Coturnix japonica: one gene and its partner. The protein of the gene in region 1 purifies or fractionates together with the protein of each later gene. This does not show direct contact. Links are inferred from orthologs where the notes say so. Each region holds a gene or a part of one and is shown in the gene's direction. Other genes may lie near its edges.

Evidence for each region.
Region 2: the proteins of CAND1 (region 1) and DCUN1D3 purify together in Homo sapiens (affinity purification with western blotting; 3 studies listed by BioGRID, with this or other methods). This does not show direct contact. The link is inferred for Coturnix japonica from reciprocal best matches to the Homo sapiens genes CAND1 and DCUN1D3.

The regions. Positions count from the first base shown.
Region 1 is NC_029516.1:31,596,477-31,600,285, forward strand, and holds part of CAND1 (cullin-associated NEDD8-dissociated protein 1), read left to right. Parts: intron 1-946; coding exon 947-1,101; intron 1,102-2,382; coding exon 2,383-2,506; intron 2,507-2,918; coding exon 2,919-3,175; intron 3,176-3,256; coding exon 3,257-3,362; intron 3,363-3,809. UniProt on the Homo sapiens protein: Key assembly factor of SCF (SKP1-CUL1-F-box protein) E3 ubiquitin ligase complexes that promotes the exchange of the substrate-recognition F-box subunit in SCF complexes, thereby playing a key role in the cellular repertoire of SCF complexes.
Region 2 is NC_029529.1:12,709,173-12,713,735, reverse strand, and holds the start of DCUN1D3 (DCN1-like protein 3), read left to right. Parts: upstream 1-1,670; 5' UTR 1,671-1,776; exon of another isoform or gene 1,777-2,051; intron 2,052-2,057; exon of another isoform or gene 2,058-2,178; intron 2,179-2,261; exon of another isoform or gene 2,262-2,348; intron 2,349-2,782; exon of another isoform or gene 2,783-3,033; intron 3,034-4,563. Other genes in the region: LYRM1 (LYR motif-containing protein 1), read right to left, coding at 17-133, 669-761, 1,215-1,463. UniProt on the Homo sapiens protein: Contributes to the neddylation of all cullins by transferring NEDD8 from N-terminally acetylated NEDD8-conjugating E2s enzyme to different cullin C-terminal domain-RBX complexes and may play a role in the cell cycle progression by regulating the SCF ubiquitin E3 ligase complex, after UV damage.

The DNA.
Region 1 (3,809 bases):
AAGGAGAGAGAAGGTGTGTGTACTTTTCTACACAGCTCAATAAAACCACAGTCCTGCTCTTGTGTCTTTCCTAGAGCCTCAAGAAGGAAGTGGAAGACTTGCTTGCTAGTGTTAGAACGAAATAGAGGCAGAATAAGGCACTGATTTTTTGCATAACTTCCTGTCTGGAACAGGGTGTTTACAAGGGAGAGGCACTGAAAGTTGGCAGTAGGGTTAGGAAGATGATGAAGGGTACTGTATTTCTTAGCAATGAAGTAGATTTCACTGCAACTTTCTGCAGCTTCAGTGTTTTGAACAAAGGGAAGCGTACGATAAAGGAAACAAAATTGTCATCATCCTTGAAATATTTGAGATGGCTGAACATTAACCTTACGGTGACATTTTCACTCTTTCCCCCAAGTGCTGTGTTTATAAGGGTCTCTGAATGAAGACTTGCCATGTTTCTGTTTTATATTTCACTGCTGTATTCTATTAAGGCATTTTATGGCGTAGAATGAACATGTCAAAAAGAACCCAAGTGTTTTGTAGAATAAAGAATGAAGTTGTGGTAGTAAAGAGGTTTGCTTACTTGTCTGAACTTTGTAGTACATAGACTGATGTCTTTGGCTAGGTAGTTTTGTAAGCCTTGGTATTAAGTGTGATGAAGTAAGAGGGGCTCAGGTTTTGGAATGGTGAAGCACAGCACTCATACAAAACTGTTTCCATCACTAGACTAAAAAAAACCAAACAAACAGATGCACTAAATCTGTATTTTGTCACTAGATCTAAGGAGGTAGGTTATCAGCCTGACCAGCTAAGAGCTGTCAGGTGTAAAACATTTGCTTTGTGTTGCTACTAAAACCAATCTTAACTTTGTGACTTCATATAAGATACAGAAATAAAAATGAAGGATTTGGATGTTTTTATTTATCATTGCAAATGTATTACCTTTCTTCTCTTTATACAGCCTCGGCCCGTTGGTGAGCAAAGTGAAGGAGTATCAAGTGGAGACCATTGTAGATACACTCTGTACAAACATGCTTTCAGATAAAGAACAGTTACGTGACATTTCAAGCATTGGCCTTAAAACTGTGATTGGAGAACTCCCCCCAGCTTCCAGTGGTAAGGTGTTTTGTATTCAAGACGTTCTTTTAGTTCTGTGGCGGTACTTTGGAATCCTGCTGGTTTAAAAAACTTAAGTTTCCAACACTGATGCGACATTTCAGGAGAAAAATCTTGTGTTACAGGAACGCTGGAGTAACAAATTGAGCATAAAATCTTCTATTTTAATAATCATCTGGTGGAACATTTCTGGGCTGTACTCATAACAAAACCTCTTCTTGCTTTTTGGTTGATAGAACACTCATAAATTAAATTAAAATTTGCATATTTTTCTTTAACAATTCAGTTTCTTACCTCAGTTTAGATAAGTGTTTTGGAATGTACCTAATGTTTCTAACAAGTTGCTGTTAAGTTACTGAAATGCTGAATTGTAGTTTTAAATGAAGACGGTCCACTCCAGAAGAGATGCTAATGTTGAACAGCTCTTCAGTTAGTATTATTACCTTTTTACTCAAGTTGATTTCAGATATTGTATGTAGGGTATGAATGAGAAGAGAAAGCTGATTAAGAGGGCTTTGAAAATGCAGCTTTTAGAGACTGAAGTTGCTTAAATAAAAACAAACAATACAGGCATGCTCGGACTTTGACATCCTTTACTGAAAGTCCACAAATAAATAATCACGTGTTAATCAGGTAGTAATAAGATGCATAAACTTAAAAATAAATATTTAAAATGTAGATTAGAATGGCATTAATTTCACATCTACATTCCAAAAATGTGACTTTAAAGAAAACAACAAAAAACCTTCCGTGTATGTTGGGGAAAACTGTGCAGGTGTAGCAAAGACGTTTTAACTTGAATTTTAAAGCACGTATAATGTTTATTTTAGCAGCCTCTCAAGTAGACTTAAATAGCTCCTTGTGTGAAGTGGCTGTACCTTGTTTTGTTTTTTTTGTCAAGAGTCACCATCTACTTCTGTGCTTCTTTTAGTTACTTTATTTTTGTTTGTAGTCCTTCCATTTATTGCTCTAAGCTTATTTTGGCCTTTGCTTTCCATTACTTGACCTGCCAAAAGCAGTATCTTTTTTGTTACGTACAACTTATAAAACTGAACCCTCCTACTCAGAATGTTTTTGGGTATATAGGTAGTCTTTCAGCTCTAATGCAGAGCATAATACTTTACATGAGCAAAGAAACTTGCTGTTCAAACTTGTTTTATTGGGTGGGAAAGCTGATTCATGTTAAATGCTAGTTGCTTCCCATAGTTACAGGCACGACCTCTTGTGTTAATAACTGTATTTTCTTATTATGGAAATGCTGAGGTCTTATTGTATTTTCAGGTTCTGCATTAGCAGCTAATGTTTGCAAAAAGATCACAGGGCGTCTCACTAGTGCTATAGCCAAGCAGGAAGATGTGTCTGTTCAATTGGAGGCACTAGATATCATGGCTGATATGCTGAGCAGGTAAACATCCTTCTTCCAAAATGCTGATGAATGCCAGTAAATACTCCTTTAACTTCCTAATTTTCAAAATATTAAATAAAATTTACTTTAAATGAAGTAACATGGCAAGATGTTAAGTGTAAATGAAACCTTAGTTCAAACCAGATAATGGGATGTATTAAAGATAAGTTAATTGAGAAGACTGATAATTTGTTTCTTTTTCTGGTAACTGTAGTTTTAAGTTACTTTTCAATGTTTATTGCTTTGAAGGTGTATTTTAAACTTGTTTCTTGTTTTTTAAAGTTCCAAAACTTTAAAAACTTAATTGGAATCTCTGTGGTGTTTTGGGAATATTTTAAGAAATTCTGGTAGAATATATGAACAAAGTTATCTAGATTCAATTGGTTTGAGTTTGTGTTTTGTCTGTTTTAAGGCAAGGAGGACTGCTTGTTAACTTCCATCCTTCAATTCTGACCTGTCTGCTCCCCCAGCTGACTAGCCCCAGACTTGCTGTGAGGAAAAGAACCATCATTGCTCTTGGTCACCTGGTTATGAGTTGTGGCAATATGGTTTTTGTTGACCTCATTGAACATCTGTTGACAGAGCTGTCTAAAAATGATTCCATGTCAACAACTAGGACCTATATACAGTGTATTGCTGCTATCAGTAGGCAAGCAGGTCATAGAATAGGTAAGAAAAATATATAAATTATCTGTTACGGGGAAGGTTCTTTAGATGAGAGTAATTACTTTGCTAATATTCTCTTGTCAGGTGAATATCTTGAGAAAATAATTCCTTTGGTTGTAAAGTTTTGTAATGTAGACGATGATGAACTACGGGAGTATTGCATTCAAGCATTTGAATCCTTTGTTAGGAGGTAAGTAATTCTCAGGCATTTATTTTGAGTTATCTTAAGATCTAGTAGTCTCCTTGGTATACAATAGTTTTGCAAGATTTGAACTGAAATTGTTTCTGTAATGTAATGTTATACCTTAACTGTTAAGCAGTGGGATTATGTTTGGATGTCATAAACTCTGCTGTGCCAGTGCTGCTAATAAATACAGAAATGAGGAAGTATTCTAATAATTATTGTTGTCTTATAGTGGTGAGGAAAATAAATTATATCCAAAGGCATGTCTTGCTCTTCTGCAGTATTCCAGTCTAGTAGATTGGGTTGCATATTGGCATTGTCCTTTCTGAATTACAGATGGATGCATTTGATAGTACTTGGCTTAGCTATGATGTCTTCAGTGTACTTTATGTAGCATTAAGTCTTTTAGGCAGAAATATTTTAATTCTCATAGGTAATCAGACTTTCTTTTTG
Region 2 (4,563 bases), on another chromosome or scaffold:
CAGCTGAAACGATGGGTTATGAAATTTCATCATGGGATTTCAGGTATATTGGCTTAGAAATCTTCCTCAGCTTTTCCTGATGTCGGAACGTACGGCCTTGTTTCTGGGCAAGGCCCAAGGGAGGCAGATGGATCTGGAATAGAAAATCCCAAGTCAGGTGCAAATAAAGATGCTACAAAGAAAAAAAAAAAAAAAAAAAAGAAGCATATACAGACAATTTTATTGAGTTTCAATCACTCGTTCACTCATTGGAGAGGGCAACCATGCTGTCTGAAGCCAGGTTATTAGATTTCTGTGCAAAGAACTCTCTGAAGAGCAATTAGTGGAGCGACTCTGCAGCCTTAAACATCAGGTTTAAGAAAACCCTGCATACTTGAGGTTTTGTTAATTCTGGTCTGCAATCTGAAATCAGATTGTGACGATAACATTGTTGAAATATGCCTGTAAGCAGTATTCCAGAACAGCAAGACACAGAAATCCTGTTAAGGTCCCAAGCTGAAGTCTTAAAGCAGCGTGCTGATGATTTTTTCAGAGCTCACCTGGCTCTGATTTAGCAGAGCACCTGAGCAGAGGTGAGATGTGTGGCACAACGACAGTAGAATGGATCTATGATTTGAGTGTCAGATGGGAGCTAATAAGGTGCACCTGTGGGGAACAGACATACTCACGGGTCTCGGGTAGGGGATGTTGTAGTGAAGTCCAATTTCTATTCTTGCCTCACATTCTTCTATGCACTGCTTAATCAGCTTCGGATCTGTCACCTAAGATAACAGAGAGCTAAAAATAAATATTTTGCACAAGTACAAAAATCAGCATTTCAAGATTCAAGCTTTTTTTTCCCTTCCTTTTGCAGTTCCAAGGATACAATGATGGTGTTTTTCACATCTGCACTGCTGAGCTCTATGGCTCTGAGTAGCAGCGCCCAGAGGCTATCAGAATTGTGAGAGCAGAGAGTGCTCTTCGAGGTGACGTGCCTGGCCTTCCACAGGAGTTTATGGAGACCTCAGAGGGTTTGAATTTTCTTACAGATTTTGACCCCTGAAATAATAAGCTGTAACTCAAATATGCCTTAGAATGTGTTTGTACTGGCATTTATGGGGAAGGAATTTTGGGAAATCATTTCTTATTTCCATACCTTGGCATCCACCCACTGGGGGTGAGCAAAGCACAGTGAAAGGGGTCAGAAATTCAAACCTGCAATGACGCTCACTCACATCTTTGTTTTTTCGGAACAACGTTTTGGCTTCTTTTATAATGTACTCCCTCTCTGCAGCAGTTTGTTCCACCTGTCCTGATGCCGACTGCCATTTCTTGGCTATCCGGAATATCTTGCGGTAAAGGCCCAGCACCTCTTGTCGTGTGACTGCTGTCATCTGAAACAGACCAACCCCACAAGAGCCCCAGTTTGTGTGAACGACCACCACGTGTACTGCTTTTAAACACAATTCAATGCTTAAGAGCATCTCCACCACCTAAAGAATGAACTGAAATAGCTGCTGAAACCAGAAGACCCAGCCAGCAAAGTATTGGCACTGAGACTTAAATCTGCCCCATGCAAGCAGCCCGAGCTCCTGCTGCAAGTCAAGCACTCGATGCAGTGCTCTGCTGAATGAGAACCAGCTCAGGACCGGCCGTGCTTTCTGTCACTGCTGTTTTGCAACACGCAGCGTTGGGCGAGTCACCGAAACTCGGAGGAGTCTCCGCTGTGTTGTAACAGCGCTGCCCCGTCTGTGCTGTGTGTCCAGACCTGGAATCACGCACACGATGACAGCACTGGTGGGTGGTGGTGGGTGATGGTGGGTGATGGTGGGTGATGGTGGGTGATGGTGGGTGATGGTGGGTGGACTGCGGTACCGGTGCCAGGTGCCGAGCAGCTCGTTGGCCGTGCGATGATTCCGAGGTGCTGACTGTGAGCGAGGGGGGTCCTGAGCGCCCCGGTCGTTGTGGCGCCGTCTGCCCGCTGAGCCCGCACCAAGAGCCGGCGTCAGAAACGAGGCCCGAAATGCCGCTGTTGTGTGTACGGTGCGATCTGCCCCTGCCGCCCGGGCCGGCCTTACCCGCAGCGGCGGAACCAGCGCCGACCTCCCGCCCGCAGCGCCCGCGGCACCTCCGGGCACAGGCTCCCTCCAGGCCGCGCTCTCAGCCCCGCACCGTGCCGTGCCGTGCCGTGCCGTGCCTCGGTCCCGTGCCGTGTCCTTTCGTGCCTCTCCCCGCCCCGCTGCTCCCGTTCTTCCCCGCCCTGTGCCCTCCCGGTTCGTGCTGCGCCGGTCGCGCCGCGTGACGTCACGGCGCCAGCTGACTGCTGGCCCGGAAGTGATGCGGAGGGACGCAGCCTCGCCGGGATCGCGGTGAGTGCCCCGCGGGGCCGTGCCGAGCTGTGCCGTACCGAACCGAACCGTACCGTGCTGTGTCGTGCCTCGGTCCCGTGCCGTGCCGTGCCGTGCTGTACCGTACCGTGCTGTGCCGCCCCCGGGGACGCGGCGGGCCGGGCCGGGCGTCAGCCCCGTGCGTGTCCCTCGGCCGCCGCTGCCGCCTTCCCCTGCCGGCGGCCCGTCCCTTCAGCCCCTCGAGCTGCAGCCGCCGCTGGGCCCGGCCCGGAGCCGCGTTGCGGGGCGGCCCGTCCGTCCGTGCGGAGCTGCAGCCCCGGAGCCGCAGCACGAGCCGTGGGTCGGGCGGGGCCGGGCGCCGCTGGGGGCTGCCGCCATCCGTCCGAGCCGCCCCCGGCGGTGGCCGCTCCGCTCGGGCGGTCTCCGCACGCGGCCCCGGCGCTGCAGGTGAGTGGCCGGCGGACTGAGGGAAAGCCGGGCTGAATGCAAGGAAGCGCCTGGATCGGCCCAGGAGCCGGTTCTGCGCCGTCCGAACGCACCCGCTGCGGGTTCCGTTCTCCCTTCGGCTCTCGGTGCCGCTCTGAGCACGTTACCGGGCCGTGCCCGCAGTGCTGCCCCGGCCCCTGGGCCTGCAGCCGCGCGGCTCCAGGGGAGCGTTGCTGGGAAGCAGAGACAGTGCTGGAAAAAGCCTTTTATTTCTTACACTGTAAGTAGTTAATGGTGCTATCCTTCAAAGTGTTTCTTTGATAACTGATGAGTGGGAGCCCAGCTACTCACATACAGCACTGATCCACAGCTGTAACTTCACTTTAAATGATACCATCCATAGTATAGTTTGAAGGGAGGGCAGGCAAAGTGCTCAGAAGGGCCGAGCTGTGGCCCCAAAGTGCAGAACTGGCTTGTGGTTCCTGAAATGTCTGTCAGGCCTTTGTATCAGACTCCAGTCCTTGTGTGTTCTTTCTTTTTTGGGGGAGCCATTGGTCAAAAGGCGTCTCTTGTAGGCACACACTGCTCATATGCCCGAGAACCTCTTTGCTAAACAGTTGATGTGTGACTGAGATCTTACTGTTTTCTTTGGGCTGGCAATGGAAAGAGGGAATGTCTGAGGGCTGCTGTTCTTTGAGTGCTTCTGAACTCTGCTGCATGTTTTCCTGCTCTGAGGAGTTCCTCTGAAGGACAAACAGATACGTGTGAGCATGGAGAGGTCTGGCTTTACCTTCTTGTCAGTTCTAGGGTTCGTCTTAAACCTTACACCTCCTCTGCACACGTGCTAATGGTGTGTGGGAAGGCCTTGTAGCCCTTTTAGTGACAGGCAACGCGCAGCCTGAAGCAAAGACTCTGCACATCAGCAGAAAAAGAACTTGTGATCTGTGTGGAATTAGTTCATGCCTGCAGAACCGGCATCATGAATTTGCTGCATCTTCTCTTGGAAGGATTTCTGAAATTCTGATTGTTTTCTAAAATCAAGTTTTATACCAGCACAAATTAGGATAATCCTTAAATAATTTGGCAAAACTATTAACAGAAGAGTACACAGCTCAATGTGATACTTTGAAACCACTTTCTTCTTGAGACTGATCACCTGTGATATAATTCGTTATCTGCTGAGTTAGATGCCTTCCCTGCTGCTCCCTTACTGTGTTTTTGAGTTGCACATTGCCATGTTCATAGAAAATTTTGCCTCACTTGTTCTTATTGATCTTGGAAATTCGTTGGTAATTATGTCTTCTATTTTGCATGGATAATACAAAAGGAAATCAGATGAATTGAAAGGCTGATTTTTGAGGCAAAACCCAGAAGAGCTATTTTGGAAGTCATTAGTTAAAATTAGATAAAGAGCTCTGTACTGAGGAAGGGAAGCTACCAAACAGTTTGACTGACTTCTAGCACAAAGGGGTTTGTTGTGGTGGATTTGCATGTGGATGAAGGTGAGGCTCCATTCCACCAATTTCTTTGCTTCTACTTGAGGACCATGTAGAAAATCGTATATGTTCTGTGGATGTGTGCTGGGCAGGGCAATGTAAGGTAGGGAGGAATGGCAGTGGAAGAAAAAGGAATAGAAATGACTACTCTAAACCTTCAGACGTTGTGAAGTTAGATTTGCTCATGGCAGAAAATGATGAGTTTGGATATGGACAGATGTATGCCTGCGAGTCAGCAGGAAAGTGAGTATCCCAGTACTGCTCAGAAGTGCCCCATGCTGATGTAGAACCTTGGGGCACTGCAGACACGCCCT